3 linked regions of the Astyanax mexicanus genome follow. The protein of the gene in region 2 interacts with the protein of the main gene of each other region in a pairwise test. Links are inferred from orthologs where the notes say so. Each region holds a gene or a part of one and is shown on either strand. Other genes may lie near its edges.

Evidence for each region. The genes of interacting proteins can lie anywhere in the genome.
Region 1: the proteins of sec23b (region 2) and hoxa3a interact in binary tests that used the Homo sapiens proteins (3 or more experiments, as listed by UniProt). The two-hybrid records come from large-scale screens. The link is inferred for Astyanax mexicanus from reciprocal best matches to the Homo sapiens genes SEC23B and HOXA3.
Region 3: the proteins of sec23b (region 2) and prrc1 interact in binary tests that used the Homo sapiens proteins (3 or more experiments, as listed by UniProt). The two-hybrid records come from large-scale screens. The link is inferred for Astyanax mexicanus from reciprocal best matches to the Homo sapiens genes SEC23B and PRRC1.

The regions. Positions count from the first base shown.
Region 1 is NC_064410.1:62,557,699-62,564,752, reverse strand, and holds the start of hoxa3a (homeobox protein Hox-A3a), read left to right. Parts: upstream 1-3,958; 5' UTR 3,959-4,044; intron 4,045-4,055; exon of another isoform or gene 4,056-6,934; coding exon of another isoform or gene 6,935-7,054. Other genes in the region: hoxa5a (homeobox protein Hox-A5a), read left to right, coding at 6,935-7,054. UniProt on the Homo sapiens protein: Sequence-specific transcription factor which is part of a developmental regulatory system that provides cells with specific positional identities on the anterior-posterior axis.
Region 2 is NC_064412.1:55,309,129-55,317,004, reverse strand, and holds the start of sec23b (protein transport protein Sec23B), read left to right. Parts: upstream 1-4,796; 5' UTR 4,797-4,962; intron 4,963-6,923; exon of another isoform or gene 6,924-7,059; intron 7,060-7,220; 5' UTR 7,221-7,225; coding exon 7,226-7,446; intron 7,447-7,876. Other genes in the region: dtd1 (D-aminoacyl-tRNA deacylase 1), read right to left, coding at 517-595; small integral membrane protein 26-like, read right to left, coding at 2,246-2,424, 3,077-3,188. UniProt on the Homo sapiens protein: Component of the coat protein complex II (COPII) which promotes the formation of transport vesicles from the endoplasmic reticulum (ER).
Region 3 is NC_064427.1:29,012,115-29,019,113, reverse strand, and holds the start of prrc1 (protein PRRC1), read right to left. Parts: upstream 3,097-6,999; 5' UTR 2,987-3,096; intron 542-2,986; 5' UTR 530-541; coding exon 433-529; intron 1-432. UniProt on the Homo sapiens protein: May act as a regulator of the protein kinase A (PKA) activity during embryonic development.

The sequences.
Region 1 (7,054 bases), on a different chromosome or scaffold from region 2:
CGTTAACATAGTGATAAAGCAGGCACTACAATCTCTTGTGATCATTTAATTTTGATTTTGCTTCGGAATAAAGAGTAACTCACCGTAAAGCATGCTGTTGGCGCCCTGTTCTGCTACTCTCGTTTTTCTTTATAATATATAATGAATGACTGAAATATTTATAGCTTATTTATATTGTGTAATTATATTATGTTGCCATCTTGCTGATTCATCAAACAGACTAAACAGTTACAAGTGGTGTATCTCAATTATGCCTTCGTTATGATATTGGATGCAGTGTTCGACAGGATTAAAACATCGTGTCATCCTGCCGTCCAGGGTGTTGCATTTCCCATTACACATGTGTTTCGGCAGTCAGGCTTTCATGTGATATTGCACGGTTTTAACACGGTTACATTTGCGGTGTAACTCAAGTTGCATTCATTTTAAGGTCAAGCCCTCAAAATGAGTTATGCGGTAGGGCTAGTTTTTCCAATAAAAAAAAGGAAATTTGCTGATTTTTAAATGGCTTCAAATTACACAGTTTGTTACAGCTTTATTATTGTTTTGTTTACGGTAAAATACAGGTGGTACAATTCTGTGGTCTGTTTTTTTTTTTTTTGCCTCGGGCTGTGATTGCTAGCTCTTCCATAAATACAAAATTCCATTATTCTAAAATTCTGTTCGCCGAGTGTAAGAAAATGGGTATATTAACTGTGGACAATGAATGTAAAAAAGGAAAGCAAACAAATCATAAGGAAATCTGTCAAAACGTGGTGGATAGATTTTTTTTGTTTTGTTTTGTCTAAGATTTTAGAAAATATTATTAACATATTAACTATTGCTTCCCGAAAAAATAATTTTACAAACAAATACAGAGAATGAGAATTGTCTCATTTAACCAACATATTGTCATTGTTCTGTATCAGAACATTACGCATCAAATATTCAGATTTATGCAAACGCTTGTGCACCCTCGGGCAAATTGCGCGTTTAGATATTTGAAATAAAAATAAGTACTCATGGACACAAACGTATTTATAAAAATCTGCACGTTTTATACATGATTTCTATTTAGTTTGGAAATTATGACACATGTACATTATAACAAAATGTTAAATTAAGCAATTGTAATTATGCTTTCTAATGTGACGTGTTTACAACAAATGTAATTTGGCCCGGGGTTTAAGATGACTACAAATACAAAACAATTTGCCTGTATTAATATAAAGATGTTTTGACAACTGGTAAATTTACTGCATAAAATATATATAGAGATATATAGATGGATAAGAATTAATGTATTTTTTTTTTTTAAAGGAAACGCTTCTACAGTGTCTAAATGAAGAAACGTGTGAAATGGAGCTTGTCACTAAAAACCTATAAAAACACACGCCGTTTCTGATTGGTTGGTAACTGCATAGGTTCTAACCATGTGATATCCAACGCCCAATGTCTGTAAGTTTCAGGTTGGTGTGAACTCTGGCTGTAATGGCATCATATATCTCCCTACCTCGTAAAAACGACACTGAGGATTCTGGTCCAACAAATCAACTGGAAGCGAAAAATGAATTCATCTTACATTGTGGGTGTTTTTCCCAGTAATGCGCAGTTCCCTTATGCAGTACAAGCAGATGAACATTGCGTTCAGCTTCAGCTACAGTGTAGAAATAAAGAATTACTATCTACATCGTTAATTATCAATACATGGCGCTCATCACAAAAAAACTGGGATTTCTCAGAGACTTCCTATGATGTGGAATATGTGGAACAACAGCCCTGACCAGCATCTGCTCAAAGATGAAGCCTTGGAGCAGATCATCAGGTATGAATTCATTTTTTTTTTACCTTTGATCTGATAGTTGGATGTGCTTGTTTGTATGTAAGCTAAACGGCTAATGTCTTTATTATTGGTTGTTAATGACTGCCTTGTCATTCAACGTTGGCCAATCAGAAAGTAGTATTTAATAAATTAATACATTTTATAACACGCTCGAAGACTCTACAAAGAAAGCATGTTGATATCAAATAATATGCAGTGCAGGGCCTACACCAGCATAACGAACTTCCTAGAAAAATTACATATGATTTACCTTGTGTCCTACATAAATTGATTAAATTAATGTATTTACGCAATGTACTTTGCTTGTATTCTTTAAAATAACTAATTCGTATTTTACATATTATGTCTATGATATTTTTTTTTACTTACAAAGCAAACGTGCCAGTGTTATATTAACACTATGGTTGCTAAATTGATCTGATGAAGTGTTGAGTTACCATTATTCTGTGTAAAAAAAATAGGCCTGTTTAGTTAAGTTAAGTTTAGGCCTAAACTTAAACAAAAATCTTTAAATTAAATTTGACCAGATATATGGTTAATTATTTTATAAACATTTAGCCAAATAATTTTTTAAATTGTTTTAAGAACCCTTTTTAAGTTGTTAATAGTTAGAACAATTTTAATGTACAGTATTGGTGACAGTACCATATCTTTGGAACTTAGTTAACATCAGTCAAATATTATCCAGTAGTAATGATGTGCAATCCTACAAAACCAGTAGGATAAGGTAAATGATTAAGCAAATTAATTAATTTAACAGTAATATTAAAGTGAATCAGTTTATGAGAACCATGACCTGATTCTCATTACATGATGGAAGCAATACATTTGTGTACAGATCCAATGCAGAAATAACGTGAATAAAGTGAGAAATAAATTATTAATGAATTATCTTTGTTGGTGCTGCTTACTGTCTTGTGCACTGTACAAGTAACCATGACCTAAATATACCCAGACTTTGATTTTTTTACTTTAACTTTTTTTAAATCTCTAATTCTAATATATCATGCAGCTTTTCCATTTTTATCTAAAACATGACATTACAAAAAGTCTATCTATACAAGACAGAGAATGTCTTATACTGTATAATTTAGTCCAGCACAACCATATATGTTCAAAAAGCAATAATACCGAGATACTAGTAGAAGTATTGTCAAATTGTCACTATTTTTATTTTGATTGATTTTAATTTATACAGATTGTATGAAGAACATTTTTTGGACCATGCCATTTCAAGAGAATAACTTTCTTACTGTCTATAGTAAAAAGAAGAGTCTTGGTGAGCGCACACATATATGATACAGTAACATAATAAGCAGTCTAGACGTGAACACAGACGCTTATGTACTTGCTGAATAACGTGTCACTGTCACATATTAAATACATGCGAGCTTGTTTAAACCTAGCCATTTCAAAAAGAGAACATCTGTTTCATCAACATATAGAAACACATACACTATGTTCAACAGAAAATATGAAAAAATATATGGTGAGAAAATATGGTGCATCATGTACACTATACCTCTAAGTTTACTATATACGCTTATATATTATGCATATGTACCCATGTTCATGCGTTGTCATATATCTGTAGCGAAGGTAAAGCGTTGATTGGTGAAGCACCTCTGACTGGTAAAGGCTCACTGGTTCCGCGCTTTACGTTAATCAGGGCTGTAAGGATTTGCATAATGGTTTTTGATTCGGTATGCAACACAGCACAGCTTTCTCTGTGCTCCTCCTCTATGTAAAATGGCGCCTTGCAAAAATCCCTCCTTTCTAGCTCCTCCTTCTCCTCCTTTAGCCAGGACGCGACTATAAATCTGTTGTTGTTTATGAAAATTTACTACTCCGCTTCACAACTTTACGAGCCTACACGAGTTCCTATTGGCAAGCGGTGGTCACATGACCTCAAGGTCCCATGCACATGAACTTTTTATGTGCATGCTTCCCTTCCCCAGAATAGGGCTGCATTCTTGTCGCGCGGCTCGCTCCTACGCTCGCGCTTGTTTTCTCCGGCAGCGTTCGCTGTTGATATATTTGTTTGTTTGTGTAGTTTTGTTTCTTACAGCTTTATTTCAACGCCGTGGGTGAGGATCTCTAAGCTAAAGGACGTGTGGGCACCGCTAGGATGCTTTCTTACTGGATGTATGGACTGCACTTTGAGCTGGACAGCTGTCAGATGTTTCCCACGTTCTGGGATCCACGTTCTACTGCTATGACTGGTAGGAGTCTAGAACCTTATGCTAAAACATATGTTAAAAGTTATTTTATTATCATTATTGTTCTCAAAATATGACATTTGTATTGTTGTCAGTGCTCAAAAACGACCGGTTGCTTTCTATTTTTTGGGGGGAAATCAGATGTTTACGCCTAGTAAGATAATTTGCGATTAATCTGCGAATAATAGTCTGGACATCAGTTGTGATTACAAGACATTTCTTTCAGCTTAGACCGACGAAAAAATGCCTGGAAAAAACACAAACTTGGCTGGGGTCCTGATACCAGTGTGAACTGGAGTGGAGGGTTTGATGATTAGTGTTCACGTACTGCTGACAGCAAAGGCGCACTGGCAATCTCATTATAGACGTTTAGGCCTTTGCCAAAATATAGCCCTAACATGTGGTGTTGTCTCGGTCTGTCGCAGAGGCAGATTCTAAACCAACCATCTGGGGGCGCTGTGACATAAAGCACAGATAAGAATTGCATAGGTTCTATGTTTGCAGAGGTTAAAATTAATGATTGTAAACCTGTAAAGTGCATGGCGTTCAAAAGCATGCCCTTTGGAGTGCAACTTCTGTACAAATGTTTTGATCTTGCCTACATGGCGATGAAGGTCTGGAAGGAGTGTGGGGAAAATCTGTTCTGGTTCTATTTTCAGACGCTTGCTTGCTATTTAGACCAGCCTGTTTCCTCTTAAGAGTATGTGACATATAGATCTGTTTTGAATTAGACCGTTAACCTCAGTTACATATTTTTAAAATCACTGTGTCACTATACTAAACGTTTTAATATATTGGCTTGACCAATCTCTTACAATTGTAAAGTAATTTGTACACAATACATTCGCTAGTGTTAAATCAACACTGTTAGTTTTAAATTAACATATAACACTAACAGTGTTGATCTCACACTAGCGAATTTACTCGGTATTAAGCAAATAGTATTAAAACGTTTGCACTATTTGAAGCAAAATGGATAGAATGCATTTTTCAGTACTGTACTACTTTTCCCCGTCATGTGATGTTATGTTGACGTTGACGTTATTCATCTGAAAAGCCCTTTATATTTAAATCATTACAATTCTGATAACCATACATCTTGCAACCAAACATACCTTGCAACGAGTAGCTGTATCGAGGGTTTTAATACTCAAATCTGAAAAATAAAAAACATTTTAAAATATTTAATTGTGCTGCTGATCCATATGCCCTGCTCTCATGGTCAAATTCAGTTTAAATAATTCCTAATGTTGTATCAAATAGTTTTAATTCCGTATCCTTTGTCGTTTAATTTTTAGGTCAAAAAACTGTCTGGTGACAGCTTACCAATGCGTATGCAAAAATCATAATTCATTTTTATTTAGCGAGGTTTCTAACTTACAAAATTCTTTTCGATTCCTTCACTGAGGATGTATCACTGCTTTTATTCGATACGCAGCAAAATCTCTGTCGTAGTGCACTCGCAGCTTTTTACTGCGCACAAGCGAGGTTTTATGCATGGTTTTATTTTACGACAACGTCACAGGCCAGTTATAAGCATCAACGCTTTTATCGCCCATGTGTGATGTCTCAGTCTGACTGTATTCCTCGTGTTATATCTGCTGTCGTTTAGTTATTGGTTAGACGTTTCTGGCTACGATAGAGATGAGCTTAACAATGAGTATTACTCCAATTCCAATTTCTCCGTTGCGGTGTTGAATCTGTGTCTTTTGTGTGGTAGTAGGTAGATTTTGTAGAGCTTAAAAATATTTGCAATTTTAGCATTTGAGTTTCAAGTAAAAAAAATAAATGCTAAAGGCTAAAAAAAGAATTTTCTCACACACACACACACACACACACACCTCATTTACATGCACTCTTTAACAAGAGGTTTATTTAACTGATCGACTTGCTATACGTGATCTACTGCTTTCTTATCGCATCATAAGGTTTAATTTAAAGATTTGAGCTGATTTCTTTATTTTTTAACTTGCATTTTTAAACATGGGGTTAGTTTAGTAATGCAATTAAAAAAGTAGCATGTTGTAAAACTGATGTGTGAAGAATATTTAAAAGATTTAGGGAAATATTGATCTTTCGGGAGACTTCATTTTGTTGCATCTGCATCTCTGCACTTTACTCCAGATTTTATTTCTCTCAAATTTAAAGGAGGATTTGAGCACTGTGTAGATATGTGTTTTTTGGAAGGTATGGCTTTTAACAATGAGTTCAAAATAATGAACAGTTTTTATTATTTTTTATTGTTTGTGGATTTTTTCTTTGCTTCAGAGAGGCTGCTTTTAAAATACGCTTTCATTTTCTTTTAATATCTGATATTGCTATTTCACTGGATCGCTTGCTTTTTGTTTATTCTGTTTGATTGCATTGTACCCAACGAAATGTTTCGGAGCGTTTTCCAGCGAGGTCACGGTATTGTGTTTTGTTTCAGCAGTGATAATTTTTCCACTGCAAAGTCGTTAACCTCTGCATGACCCTGTCCCAGCCTGTAGCCTCGAGTAGGGCAGTGAGGGGGGAATTCTTCGGTTATACCAAAGGGTGGCGCAACACTACAGTTCTAAACAGCACCGCTAGAGCCTTCAAACAATTCCACCCAGATTTCCTGCTCGCGCGTGAGTTTACCGCTGGAGGTCATCACACAGGATTTACGACTGGTCAACAAAAAACACGTGACTTCAACCCATACCCCATATTTGGGCGCCTACGTAAGAGAGCATGAAGTCTGTGTCTCAGTCATTTCCATAATTCATCATAAATTGTGCAAGGGTGCAATAGACGCGCAAAAGCATCAAGAGACACAAATCAAGCACGCGCGGCATTGTTGTTCTCTCCACGGTGGTAATAATAACAATAATACCGGCAGAGCAATTATCAGGTAATCGCTGTCAACCAACCAATGAGCTCTTATTTTGTAAACTCATTCTGCGGTCGCTATCCAAATGGCGCGGACTATCCGTTACATAACTATGGGGATCACGGTTCAGGCGACCAATACCGAGACTCTACGGGCATGCAT
Region 2 (7,876 bases):
TTTCCAGTGGTATAATATTTATCGGCAAGAAGCATTGAAGAAATAATCCACCACACACAAACATCCTTACTAAACGTGCTATGTTTACATTATATTACCTCTCTAGTCAGTAATGTTCTACAGGGACTACACACGCTGTGTGTGTGTATTTGCACAGCTGTGTCAGCAATAAACTTTCGTGGCTAGTTTCCATACTGAGCCACGTTGACTGTGCTGTATCAGAAATGCTCAAGATCTTAAGAAAAACAGTAAAATTATTTAGTTATGCATGTGTGTGTGTGTGTTTTATCAGTTACTGCCTAAACCCGCTGGTCTAAATCAGAGCCCGTCCACTAAAATAACCCCACGCCTTGTTTAGAGTTAGCAGGCAGGGGCTAGTTAGCATTAGCTCCCACAGCCCCATTCATTCATTAGCGCACATCACGCTCTTCACAAAGGGCCATACCACAGAGTTAACCCGGCCCAGGTTTTAAACACCCCGCGCTGTTAAACACAGCTGGCTTTATTCAGGTTTACCCGTAACGCTCGCTTTAGTGACCCTCTGAACGATTGCTTTCATTGTTGCTGTCAGGAGTTCCGCTTTCCCAGCATTCATTAGCTACCTGCATCATCACTCCACACAACAGCGGGCGCGTCCCAAACGTACATCATGCTGCCTACTTAGGCAGGATTCTGAGGAGGAAAGACTCTCAGTTATGTCTGAATGTAAGCTTTGCAATCCTTGCCTTCTGCTTTATTGAGTGAAAGTACTGATTACAAATGCCAGCTTATAGAGAGGAATTGGTGCCAAATTAAGAAGCAAACACTTGATATGTTTATCAAAACACAAGAATTTCCATTTTTAAAACCAAACGCTGAAATAACGTGATGCTTCTTACTGAGTTTTATTCTGACTGGTTTCTTAGCCCCGCCCCACGTTCAGTAGTGGGTTCTGATTGGACAGTGATTACATTTTATATTGGCACGAATATAGTACTGCCCCTAGACAAAAGGCAATCCTGTGCATTGTAATTACAACGCATTTGAGCTGATTGCATTTTAACTTAAGTTTTGAAAATGTAAATTCTTGTGTATTGTTTTTCAATAAACAGATTAAGTGCAGTGAAATGTAATGTAATAGTGGCATCACATCACATCGTATTTTGCATGTTAGTAAGAAAAAACTTTTTTTTTTTTTAATTTTGCACCAATTTCTCTCCATACCAACACAAATAACCACTCATTTAAACACTAGCAGTGAGTTGTCATAGGAGGCATAGTCCAGATTGGATGATACATAACACTGATTATTGACATAAGGGTCAAAAGGTATTTAATTTTTTCAAGTAAAAAAAATACTGCATCAATTTGACATTGCTTGGTGATATTCCAATTCATAATTAGATTTTTGTCAACTCCGTCAGAAACATTAAAAGTATGTTATTTAAATTTTATCACGAGTGTATAGACCTTAAGTATTACACAATGTTGTGTAAAATAGTTAAATTATTCTAAATAATCCCATTGTAAGTAAAAATCCCATATGTATGGGTAATATTAAGAATATACAATCAGTGTTCTTAGGCAAATAAGAGCAAAAATCTGATTTAACACATCCACACAGCCAAAAAATCTGCTTTGAGCCACTGAAGGTAATTTGAACCCCAGACTAAACTGATTAACTGTATTAGGTGTAGCTTTAGAACAATCCAACACAAAGCCCAAAAAACACCAAGTTAATTAAAACAGTAATCCAGTAGTCTTTGATTTTCTGTGGTTAACAATAGTTGTCAACGATTGTTGTCTGGTGTGATACAAAGCAGAAAGAGCTGTTCTTTGTTCTGTGTTTTTAATTGATGTTTCTTCAAAACTGCAATTTTCTAAATGACACTGGCTGTTCACAACTCATCAACAGCCTGATGGGTGTAGCCACTTCATATATCCTGCTTCAACAGTCACAAAGTCTATTTTCAGCAATGTTGTCAGTTCTGATGGATAGCACAGTTAAACCAAACACTAACAATACTCTCATTTTAAATAATTTCCAAATATTACAAACTTGATCAATGACAAGAAAAAACAACATTCAGAGATCAAATTGCATTGATTTTACACAGCAAAAAATACAGAAGCTGATGACTTTCTTTTATAGTAGGCACAAATACTTTATATATTTTACATTAGATTTTTTACTTTAAACTGAAACTTTGAAGAAACAGTCCAGTTCACTCATTCTTCTTTCAGTCCTTAAACCAGTTTTAAGTCCTTATTTATCATCAGTTTGAGGTCCTGAAGAGCTGTCATCTGCCTTCCGGAAAAGGTTCAAAAATCTTGTAGAATACGGCACAAAATTGTTTTCTTTGTAGACCATTATGGTCGTAGAATGTGGTGTTTCAATCTTTTTCACGTTTGGCCGTGTGTCTTCCTCCATTTCAGGCATTTGAACTACAAAAAAAAAGTTTAGAATTAGAGTTTGTGGGATTAAATGCATATGGATCTACGATTTAACACATCTGAACGAGTAGATTAACTAACATCATCCCTTTGTTAGGCCATCTTGCTACTTTATTCATAAAGTTTTAAGGGTTTGGAAATCAATATTTGGTGGAATAGTCCTGGTTTTTAATCACAGTTTTCATGCATCTTGGCATCATGTTCTCCTCCACCAGTCTTACACACTGCTTTTGGGTAACTTTAAGCCTTTACTCCTGGTGCAACAATTGAAGCAGTTCTACTTTGGTTTTCAATTTGGTAAACTCGAAGAAAATCATATATTTTTAAGTGGTCTCCAATTTTTTTCCAGAGCTGTACCTAAAATTATATCCATATGCAAAATGCACATTTCTATTTGTCAGAATTACATGAACTATATTATAAATTACGATTTGTACTGAATATAACAGTTTGGATACCATATAAACCAAGTGACGAGACAAAATGATATTAAAGATAGTGAGAAGTGAGTAGTCAGAATGGATTTGTAGATCTGTTAAACTGATATAATTAATAATAAAGATCGTAGCTGATTTTGTACTGAGTGTTTGTATTTGTATTAAAGAGCTGAAACTGTGGGTTTGACCTCATGCTGTCCGCTTACCCGGCGGGTCGTTTCTGTGCGTGTATCTGTAGTACCCGTAAGACCCGAGCATAGTCCAGACTCCGACCGCGTACACCATCGCGGCGCGCTTATTCCACTTCAACGCGTCCATACTGTTTATTCCTTTATTACAGTTTATTCCTTTTTTACAGTTTATTTAACAATAAAACAACCTTAGCAAGGCTAAAGCTAATGTCATTTGAAGTATGCAACTCCAGCAGGCGTATGTGGTACGATAAAAGACCCACTGTCAAAATAAAAGTCTGAATCCAGGGCCTACTATATATTTTTTATTTTAATAAAGTGCACTGCTGTAAGGATGTATGATGTATGATGCATTGGTGAAAAATATTCTAATAATTTAAATTTTATATTGAAAAAAAAAAAAACAATAAAAAAAACAATAATAGAAAAAGAATTATTGTACTCTTAAGCTCGATAACTAAATACTTTATTGATCCCAGAGGGAATTCTAGACTTCAGTATCTAGTACACAGAAGTTACAAAAAATGATAAAATAAAATAAAACAAATAAATCTACAATTAAATATAAAGGAAAAAAAAGTTATTTTATTAAAAGAGTTATTTTATTGTCTGTAAAATGGAAGTAGTAAAGTTAAACACAGTCAAACAACAATGTACACAATGTACAATAAGTTGACATGTATTTATTTATTTATTTATTAATTTATTTATTGAAACTTTATCACATGTATGTAATAAATAAACTGTATTGGATGATTCAGGACAAAGTTTATTTAATTGACAATGATTTTAAAAATTAAAACCTAATTTCCACTGTTAACCCTGCAAAATTTCCACCAATATTAAATTAAACTTAAGTCACTCCGACTGTAGAATGTAGAGATGTCAGGGGATTAACACAGTCTGTACTGTATTTCTGACCCCTTATTGTTGTCTTTAAACGTAAAAATGTTAATTTAATTACATTTCAAAGGTAAAGACTTTTTCATAATACATGATGCATCCTTGAATTATAGCTTTTTAAGAGCTGGTAAGGATCCATGATAAGCAGTAGTTGGCGATTTAAGTTTTTTTGTCCCTCTCCTTTAAGCAGCCTCAGTCTGCCACTGTGTTATGGCAACTTCCAGCATGATCATGCATGTGACATGGTAAAAGTTGCCTTAAACTGGTTTCATGAACACAACAGTAAGTTCAGTGTTCTTTAATGACCTCTCTAGTCAGGAAGCAAAAACAGAAGTGGTAAAAAAGAAATAAGCATAACGTTTACTTCAACCAGATTGTCTGAAGAAGTTTTTGAACTTGTGAAGTCTTGTGAAATCCATGGCATGAAAAAATATAGTTGTTGTAACGTCAAAGGGAAGGAATCACTATATGTTCAAATATTTGATGGCACCTCATGTAATGAATGAACTGTAAGTCCCTGTATATATATATATATATATATATATATTTTTAGATATAACAAATTATTTTCAAATAAGTACAAAGGATAATAAAATAACTAAGTATATTTTAAAATATAGGTTTGAAATGTTTTCCTTTTGATTCCTAATATTTTGTTTAATGTGTATGTTATGTGTTTATATTGATTTATATGGAAACCTGGTATATACAAAGCCCTGTCAGCACTTCCTCTCTCTGATGTAGGTTAAAAGCGCAGAGGCGTCATTAGCGTGGGCGGGGCGTTTTGATTGGCGTCAGTCTGAAAGGACCAATGGCGAAGTGCAGAATATGTAGTAACACGTCATTCTACTGCTGGAGCTTCAGGAACTGGTGCTGCCGGCGAGAAGTTACCATTTGATTTATGATTATCTGTCCTAAAGCTCGGGATTCAGTATAGATGAGCTGTTTATAGATTATTTATCGAGGCTGTGAGACTGTGTAGCGGATTTAACTGAAAGGTAAGACCGGGTGCTTCTCTTTACCGGAGCCGCTGAGGCCGCCGGGGCTCACAGCTCGGGGACCGGGGCAGTGCGGCGGATTATCTGTCGGCTAGCCTGCTAGCTAACCTAACTAGCTCATAGTAACAAGTGCAGAGGAGCCCAACGCTGTTTAATAATATTGTATGTAAAGTATAAAGTTTGTTTTTACAGCTAACATTATTATTTGTTTATACAGCTAACATTTTATTATAATATACATTGATATACCTAGCTGACTGTACTGTTTTTAATCGTAGCGTTAAATGAATGGCGTTAGCTTCAGTTTCACATTCAGCTAGCCAACAGGCTATATCAGGTTAGCTTGCTAGTTAGCTAACCAGCTCCCGTTAGCTGCTTAGCTAAGCTAACGTAGCAATCTAGATATACATTAAGTTTTAACGTTGCGAAACATCGATGTAATGACCGTTATACATTATCCTGAATACGTTACACAGATAAAAAACGTATGTTAATTTTTTATCGTTAATTTACCATCTCTAGTGCACTGAAACAATGTTGCTCGACGTTAAAATTGATTTACTAGTAAATATTGATTTAACATTGATTCAACGTTATATATTTAGTAACTGTTGTATGTGTTAAAATATATTTGTATGAAATATATATATATTCTATATGTTGATTCTGTTCTTATAGCTTGCATTGAGCCCCAAACCTTTAAAGGCTACATATTACAATCAGAATTATAACTTTAGCCAATGCCTATTAGCAATATAAATTACAGTAAGGTTGTTTAAACGTTTTCCATCATCAGCATTCAAATATGTAATGTAACCAAAAAAACTCAAAACATGTTATTAAATGTTTTTGCTGTCAGGGAAGATAATTACAAGTTTGCTCACAAAGCTAAGCTTACCTAACTTAACCTTTTGTTAATCTGTTTTAATTCCTTTGAAAATATCAGTTTTCAAAATAGTTCCAGAATATTTTAAAAAGATTTATAAAAAGCACATTTGCACTGGGTATAATGTCAAAATGTATTAAAATCAAGTGTACACTGTACTGTGATCGATATGCTTGCATCAAGCTTTTTTTGTTGTGATATTATGTTATTATGCATACATAATCCAAAAAAAAGAGTAGTAAGTGTGATACTTGAGTTTGGGATGTAGTTGAACTAATACTAAAAATATGTAAGACAAAAATCTCGTTGAGTGCAGCAATTCATTAAATTTACTACGTTTCTGTCCACCACTGGTTACAAGCAGTTTGGGATTATGTATGTAAACGTTGTAAGCAAACGTTTGCTGATGGTGTGTTAGACATCCTATTAACACTCCTGTTACTTTCAGCTGTTAGGGAATAATGCAGCAATAATGTTCCTGGGTCAGATTGATCTGGTGCACCAAAATTAACCCTTACTTAAGCTCAATTAATATATCTCCAATCAATAATTAGTGTCATAAAAATATTAAATTTTACATGCTTTGATTCACTAGCCAACAATGTTTTAAAAAGTAAACATGTTGCAACACTTTAAAATAAGTACATTTTCATTTTCATATTTGTTTTATTTATTAAGCCAATCTGAAAATGATTCATGCCTCACAGATAATTAAACATAATATATATTAATTCTTTACACTTTAAACTTGTAGGTTTTTCCTACAACAAAATGAAATGGTAATACTGGTATTTATAAAGAGTATTTAAACCTATTCTGGTAGCAGCAAGTAAATACTGAAACAAAAAACAGCCAATACAGGATAAACCCTAACAAACTGAAATCTTTGTGTTCTCATAATAATTAACAACCAATCATCAGGAGAGCAGGAGATATGAACTGATCGTCTGGTCGTATTGACTCTGCAGAGTGCAGCGTGTCATTTGGTTCAGAGGTTAAAGTTCAGCTCCATCCAGCTGTCTTCTGTGATTCAGTGATTTCAGTACAGCCAGCCTGTCAGCAGCCTGCGGAGTTTACTGTAGGTGTGCCCCAGTGTGTAGAAGGAGTGACGTATCTTAGAAATAAATAGCTTGAAACGTTTCTGTGAAGCATTTGGCTCATGGCGTCTTTTCACTAAAGCGACTATAGGAAGAAATGTATTGAATGAGCAGGTGTGTCTTTCTCCTGTGCAATTTTAGACTTCATGGTATGTTGTAGATCCAGTTAGGATGCATTAGCCAGGTGTATCTCAGACTCAGGGTATAAAAGGCTCTGTGAGTCATTGGTGTCTCAGTTTTCTCTTTCTCTGGCTGCTTGCACTGTTTCCCTACAGATAAAATGGCAACGTTTCAGGAGTTTATTCAACAGAATGAGGATCGTGATGGGGTGCGATGCAGCTGGAACCTCTGGCCCTCCAGCAGGTTGGAGGCCACGCGAATGGTGGTACCAGTATCCTGCCTTTTCACCCCCCTTAAAGAGCGGCCCAACCTGCCTCCGGTACAGTACGAACCCGTGCTCTGCAGTCGAGCCACCTGCAAAGCCGTGCTCAACCCACTCTGGTAAGTGGATATCATGTATATGTATATACAGCAATTTGTGTTGGATTTAGATATACGGTGTAGATTTTATGCTTTTGTATTATTGTACATTACTCCTGGAATAAAATTATTTCCGTTGTATGACTCTGGGAAGGGGGTCAATAAAGGTTCTGTTGTTGACTTTATGTTTAAGAAATAGCTGCAGGTCATTCTAATGTACTGTGTTATTCCATAAGCAAAAGCTTTTTGTGTTTTTATTTTTTATTTTTCTTTATTTTTAAATTATTTTTTAAATCAGTATTCAATTTTATGAAAAAAAAAAAAAAACTAACACTACCTGGCCCTGTATGAAAAAGGTAGAGAGAGCCTAGAAAGGAATAAAAAACTATTTCAGTGGCACCGGAAACAACAGTGAGATAAGAACTACAAATGGAAAAATGTTTTTTTTTTC
Region 3 (6,999 bases), on a different chromosome or scaffold from region 2:
AGCAGTGTAAAGGCTCCTCAGGACACTTGACACAGTACTAATTGCAGTACAACAAACAAATCAGCATATTCCACATACTAATCACATAAAGAGACCAGGTGTAAAAAAGTGTCATCATGATTTAGTGCATATGGAAGAAGTCTGACTTGTATATGATCTGAAGATGGTGATTCCACTGCACCCACAGAAGTATTAGATTCTAATGAATCACAACTTTATCCAATATTGCATGCATTCATTTTTTGCCAATGTGAATTTTTCAGAAAATGATGCACCTGCTGAATGTCACTTTCAATAAACGACTATCGAACAGACGTTTCCACTGTGGCAAAATTTTATCTTCCACACAGATGGTGCTCCATTGTAAACATTCACAGTAAACATCCCCCTAAATATCCATCACCTAACAAAAGGCACCAGCTTAGACCTTACCCACTGTGAGAGGAGGAGGACTAACAGCAGCGGCCACACTGGGGGGAGGTGGAGGAGTGGTTGGTGGGGTAGTCTCTATTCCACTCTCTTCCATCATCTTTCCTCAATCCTGGGGATTGTGAAGAAGACAAAAGCAATTCAGTCTGTGCTAATAATACTGTAGAAAGAGGCTTGGCACTGCTCCAAGCAAAGTAACAAGGTGTGTTTGCCTCCTGTCAACAGCAACAGGTTGAACTAAATTTTGCAGTTATAAGCAAACTGAAAGTTTTTATTTTGCAAAGAAAGGTTGGGTAAATTATACCAAACATTCTGTTTAATACCTAACATTGTGCATCACCGGATGGTACATTTTCCCCATTATAGAGAAGCCACAGAAGTTCACCCAACATTCAACTAAACCCACATTAAATGCAACTGAACCTAGTCCTTCAATGTAAATAGTAAATGTGGAATGTGACTCTAAACTTACGCCTACCTTAAAATTGAATCTTCCCTAAACACTAGATTAATGTTATGGCTGCTTCAACAGAGTATCATTTACTTAAGAGTTCAGTTGCATTTAACAGATCAGTGTTTGCTAACCCTGTCTCACACATCTCCCTGCACCCAACACACTTAAACACATTCAAATCAGTTAATTAACAAGTTCTTTTAGAGTGGCAGGGGGTGTACTAAAGTAGGGAACTTATAAATGAATCTAAAAAAAAAAAGTCTTTGTACATGCACATGGGTCCAGTATATTCAGGTAAATAGCCACACAAGCAGAAGCAAAAGGTTAAAAAAAATCCTTGTTAGAGTTCATGTAAAGTCTAGGCATCTACAAGGAATCCAAGCAAGTTGTTAGCTACCTAATATTGTAAGAGCTGGCTAATATAAGAAAATATATGTTACGGATGAGAAGCTGTCCTCTAGCGCAGCACTTTCCATCATTGTAGTAATTCCTCTGCTTTAACACCCCCACTTTAACTCAATAATGGGATGGAAATAAGCTGACATCCTTAAAATGTGCAGGGCCTTCAGGACCAGAGGTAATATATACTGTTCTATGTACTATGGTTGGCATAGAGCATTCCCTCAAAACTAAGGGAGCAACATATTAAGCAAGTGAAACAGACTGCTACATTAAACTAAGGGAACAGTGAAGTTTCATGGAAAAAAAATAATACAGCTATAGATAGGGCTGGGAGGTTAATTGGATTAATTTTATGTTTTGGATATCTAAGATTGTAGAACTTTACATACTGTTGCCAGAGGGGATATCAGTACACAGACATTTGTTTGTGTTAGAAACTTGTAAGGGCAGTGATCTTATTTTATATTTTTCCTTAACGGAAATACAATGCTTGTACTGTGTCTAGTATTAAAACTGCTGTAAGGTTAAAGTTGGCTGCTTACTAAAAACTATAAAAAATAAGAAATTATATACAAAATGTGTAACACTTTAAATAGTGCTGTTTGTTTAAAATAAAACACTAAAGTTATGCAATAAACAAAAATGGAATACTGTAATCGAGAAACGCTCATACATTTGAAGAATATGAAGATTCTCTCTTTTTTCTTTTTTACAATATCGCCCAGCCTTAGCTACAGATACATAAATTGTCCCCTTATTGTCATCCATTACTGAGTTTTTAAGTGAGTGTGTTAAAGCAGGGAAAGCAGCAGGTGGAAACAACTTCTTAAGCAGGTGAAACAGACTGGACTGTTAAACTGAGAGAACACATTATGTTTCAGTAGCTGCATTCTTTTTCTACCCTTACATTTTATGGGCTCTGTGGCTACTTAGCTCAAATAGCACTGAGCTCTGAACTATGAACTCTCATAGTTTGTTTCATCCCTAGCAGGAGGTCTGATTGTTCTATATTAAATAAAACACTTATTTCAGAGATATTTAGCTAATGTTTAATCAGCATGTAAGTCTGCCTTGGGTGCTGTTGCCACGTCTTCAACAGCTGAGATCAGATCAGCTCACTGGAACACAAACAGGGGAAGTCTGTGAGCTTCAGGGTCTGGGGTTTACAGATTGAGCAATCAGCCAAGAACAGGGCATGCAGATATAGATAGTTTTACTGCTGGTTTCTGCGGAATAAATGTCTAAATTATCACAGAAAAGTGTAAGTCACAACATACTTTAATGTAGCTAGTTTAACTGACACTAACTGTTAGCTAACATAGCTATCTGGGTTATGGTAACTAACCTAACCCCAGCTAATGTTAGCTAACATGAACACCACTGAGTGGAGGAGTCTGACTGCACTCAAAGTAACTTACATCACACAGGTGGGAAAGGCTCCTGGGCTGCGTCTGTTAAACAGCTCAGCGCAGAAAAATCAGACAAATGTTAATGTAGCAGTCAAACGGCTCTTAAATGGAGTTAGCCAGCTAGTTAGCCTGTTAGCTGAGAGTTCAGCTCCCCCACTGAGCTCCTGCACTCCGGGTCTTCAGCTTTCTGAGCAGATTAGCTTAACTACATTCCGCCTCATAGACACCCACAGCTAAACTACGCGGCACAGCGAGGTTTAAAAGTTCGCTAAGCGCAGCGATAAACTCTTACCTGGCGCTTTTGTCTCCTTAATCAAACCCACACAACACGAAATCACATCCACCAACTCCAGACCCCAACTCTACCGACCCTCGTCGAAAATGGCCGCGTTGAATAGACGTCACCAATTGCCACGTCTGTAGGGTAAGGTGGGCGGGGCGCCGAAGGAATGCTGCAATATGATTGGCTTGCTGACAAAAAATATATAAATATATTTAAAAAATTATCTTAAAATATAACTAGTATTGCTTTCAATTCCTAAAATAACAATAACAATAATAATCGTTACAATTTGAATTACCTCAGTAATAAGTACAATACAAAGCATTCTCTTTATAGAAAGTACATGACAACAAATGCAGTTTGTAACGTTACCATAAGTGCAAATAGTAGTATTCTCCAATAAATAAACAACAATAATTCTGGCTAATCTTACAGCAGCTGGCACGCAACCGGGCACATCCTAGAAAAGCAGCACCCACGGACTATCCAGCCAACGTTAATGCTGCCAGCACTTTATCCGGCACATTTGATGCCATCCGGCACACCACCTGGCACATCTTACAACAAACACACCATACAGCGCATCACAGTATTGTGGCGGCTCTGGGTTGTGTGTGTGGCTGCCTGCAGGCATGTTTCTGTTCTCCTGTGTACGAGGATGACAGGGGTGGGGCATCTCCCTTGGGAGGGGTTATGCAGAGAGGGTGGGCACCACTCTGGATCTGCCATCTGGGAGACACACAGCTGGGTTGGTGGCCTTTGGGCTATTTGAGCTCTGTGGGGATGGTTTTAGATCTCCTAGTCTTGTTAAAGACTGTAAGTGAGTGGCAAGCCGGTTCAATAAAGGAGCTGTTGAGCATTCAGCATGAGTCTCACGGGTCTTCCTTCCTCTTCCACGCCACAGTATATCCAAAAGCAGCTACCACACACACCAGTGCATCACACAGCACCTGGTACACCAACCAGCACATCTTTCAGCAGGCACACCTTCCGGCTGATCTTACAGGAACCGGCACACCAACCGGTACATCTTACTGCAGAAAGCACACCGAAAATGAACAGCTTATTTGAATTCACCACCAGGGATCTTTGCATTTAAGAGAGGTTTAAGGGAGGTAGAGCAAGACTTTTTACATTAACAGGCGCGCTTGCTGGTGCATTTACATGTTTATCAACATGTTACAGTACAAAGAAATGAAAAGAGCATTTATCAAGTATATTGATAAAATGCGTAAAAGTGCATGCCGTGCGTAAAAGCGCGCGCCTTGCGTAAAAGCCACTGTGCGTAAAAGCGCGTGCCGCGCGTAAAAGCCACTGTGCATAAAAGCGCGCCATGTGTAAAAGCCACTGTGCGTAAAAGCGCCCAATAGGATAAAACCGCGCGCCGTGGGTAAAAAAAAGCAATGCCCTGCATAAAAGCTCGTACCGTGCGTAAAAGTCGCTGTGCGTAAAAGCGCGTGCCGTGCGTAAAGGCGCGTGCCGTGCGTTAAAGCGCGTGCCGCGCGTAAAAGCGCGTGCCGTGCGTAAAAGCACCCAAAACGGGTTGAGCTGTATTTTAGAAGGCTAGATGGCTAAATTACTAAACTTCGATTCAGAGACACCCATAGACACGCCATAAGACTCCCAGGCTGGATAAAACTCAGTATAACGCAACAAAATAAGATAGAAACCTTTACCGAGACTTCAACTAATATTAACAGAGCTAGCCATCAACTAGCTTGCTAATCCACCAGATAACAGTGTCGGGCACGTGAGTGTACTATTACAGATCAATCGACGAGCTCTATATAACAATGTTTTATTTTTGCAAAAAAAATCCTCAACACCGATCACATCTCAAATGATCTTCATTAAATATCTGTATATACTGAAAGGGTTTTTATTCAACAAAAGAGAAAACGAGCTTTATTTTTGGCCCAAATCACCCTAGCAGTACCACTGAGACCCACTAGGGGGCCATGGCCCACCGGCTCAAAACCACTGATCTAGAAAGTGCGAAACTGAATAAAAGCATCACGAGGGTTTCAGGTCTTAGATTTTTTTTGCTGCAGAGTTTTTTTTTGTTTCGGTAAAAAAAAAAAAACACCTGAATGTGAGCATTTCGTAGCTGCTACTAGTGCATCTCAACAACAAAAAATAGAATATCATTAAAAAGTTACGTTTATTTTAGTAATTCAGTTCAAAATGTGAAACTCATATTTTATTATATAGATGTATTACACACTGGGTAATTTATTTTAAGCTTTCATTTCTTCTGTTGTTGATAATTATGGCTTACAGCCAATAAAACTCTAAAAATCTGTCTCAGACAAAAAAGTCTCAGAAAAATAGAATAAGACTAATTGGTACTTTTGGCAGTGTGGGCAGAGTGCCAAGTTCTGCTGGAAAATGAAATCTGCATTTAGATAAAAGTTGTCAGCAGAGGGAAACATGAAGTGGTGTAAGATTTTCCGGGAAAACACTGCACCGAGTTTGGAGTTTAATATAAAACAGTGGACCAACACCAGCAGATGACATGGCTCCAAACCATCACTGACTATCAGCAAATTTAGCATTTCATTTGAAAATCAAGGGACCAGTCTGGGGAAAAGTGAAGAGGCACAATAAAATGGCCGCGTTGGATTGACGTCACCAATTACCGCGCCTGTAGGGTAAGGTGGGCGGGGCGGCAAGAGAACGCTCCAATATGATTGGCTTGCTGACAAAAATATTTAAATATATAATTTTTTTTTTTAAGATGTAGTATTGCTTTTAATTCTTAAAATAACAAATAGTCTAAAATATTTAAAAACCTCAGTAACAGTACAATACATTAGCATTCTCTTAATAGGAAGTACACACAAACAAATGCAGTTTGCACTACATGTGCAAATAGTAGTTTTCTCCAATAAATATAAATTAATTAATTGGGCCAATCTTCAGCAGCTGGCACGCAACCTGGCACATCCTAAAACAGCAGCACCCACACTGGCGCTTCATAAGTAAGTCAAAATACCATCCAGCACACCCTAAAGCTGCTGAGCATATTAAAGCAGCCGCAACATCACCTGGCACATCTTATACAATCCAGCACACAACCCAGCACATCTTGCAGCAGCCAGCAACCCAACTGGCACACTATCCAGCCAACGTTTGATGCCATTCAGCACACCACCCGGCACATCTTATAACAAATACACCATAAAGCGCATCACAGTATATCCAAAAGCAGCTACCCCACACACCAGTGCATCTCACATCATCTGGTACACCAACCAGCACATCTTTCAGCAGGCACACCTTCCGGCTCATCTTACAGAAACCAGCACACCACCATTAAACTGAGGGCTCTATGCATTTAGGGGGCTTAAGAGACGTAGAGCAAGACTCTTCAAAATAACAGGCGTGCTTGCTGGTGCATTCATATGTTTATAAACATGTTACAGTACAAAAAGATGAAAAGAGCGTTTATCATGAAATATATTTTATGTTGTCTGTGTTTTGCGCGCTGTACAGACAAGTGCACAAAATGCGTAAAAGCGCGTGGCGTGCGTAAAAGCACGTGCCGCGTGTAAAAGCACACACAATGCATAAAACTCGTGTTGTGCGTAAAACGCGTAGTGTGCGTAAAATCCGCTGTGCGTAAATGGCATGCTGTGCGTAAAATCGCGTGCCGTGCGTAAAAGCCTCTGTGCGTAAAAACGCGTGCCGTGCGTAAAAGTACGTGTCGTGCGTAAAAGCTCGCGCCATGCGTATAAGGCGCTGTGCGTAAAAGCTCACGCCGTGCGTAAAAGCCGCTGTGCGTAAAAGCGCGTGCCGTGCGTAAAAGCGCATCCCGTGCGTAAAAGCTCGCGCCGTGCGTAAAAGCAGCTGTGCTTAAAAGCGCGTGCCGTGCGTAAAAGCCACTGTGCATAAAAGTGCCCAAAATGGGTAAAACCGTGCGGCATGCGTAAAAAGCGATGCTCTGCATAAAAGTGCGTGCCGCGCGTGAAAGCCCTAGAGACCGTTGACCATCTCAACGCCTGTAGAGAAATACAAACACG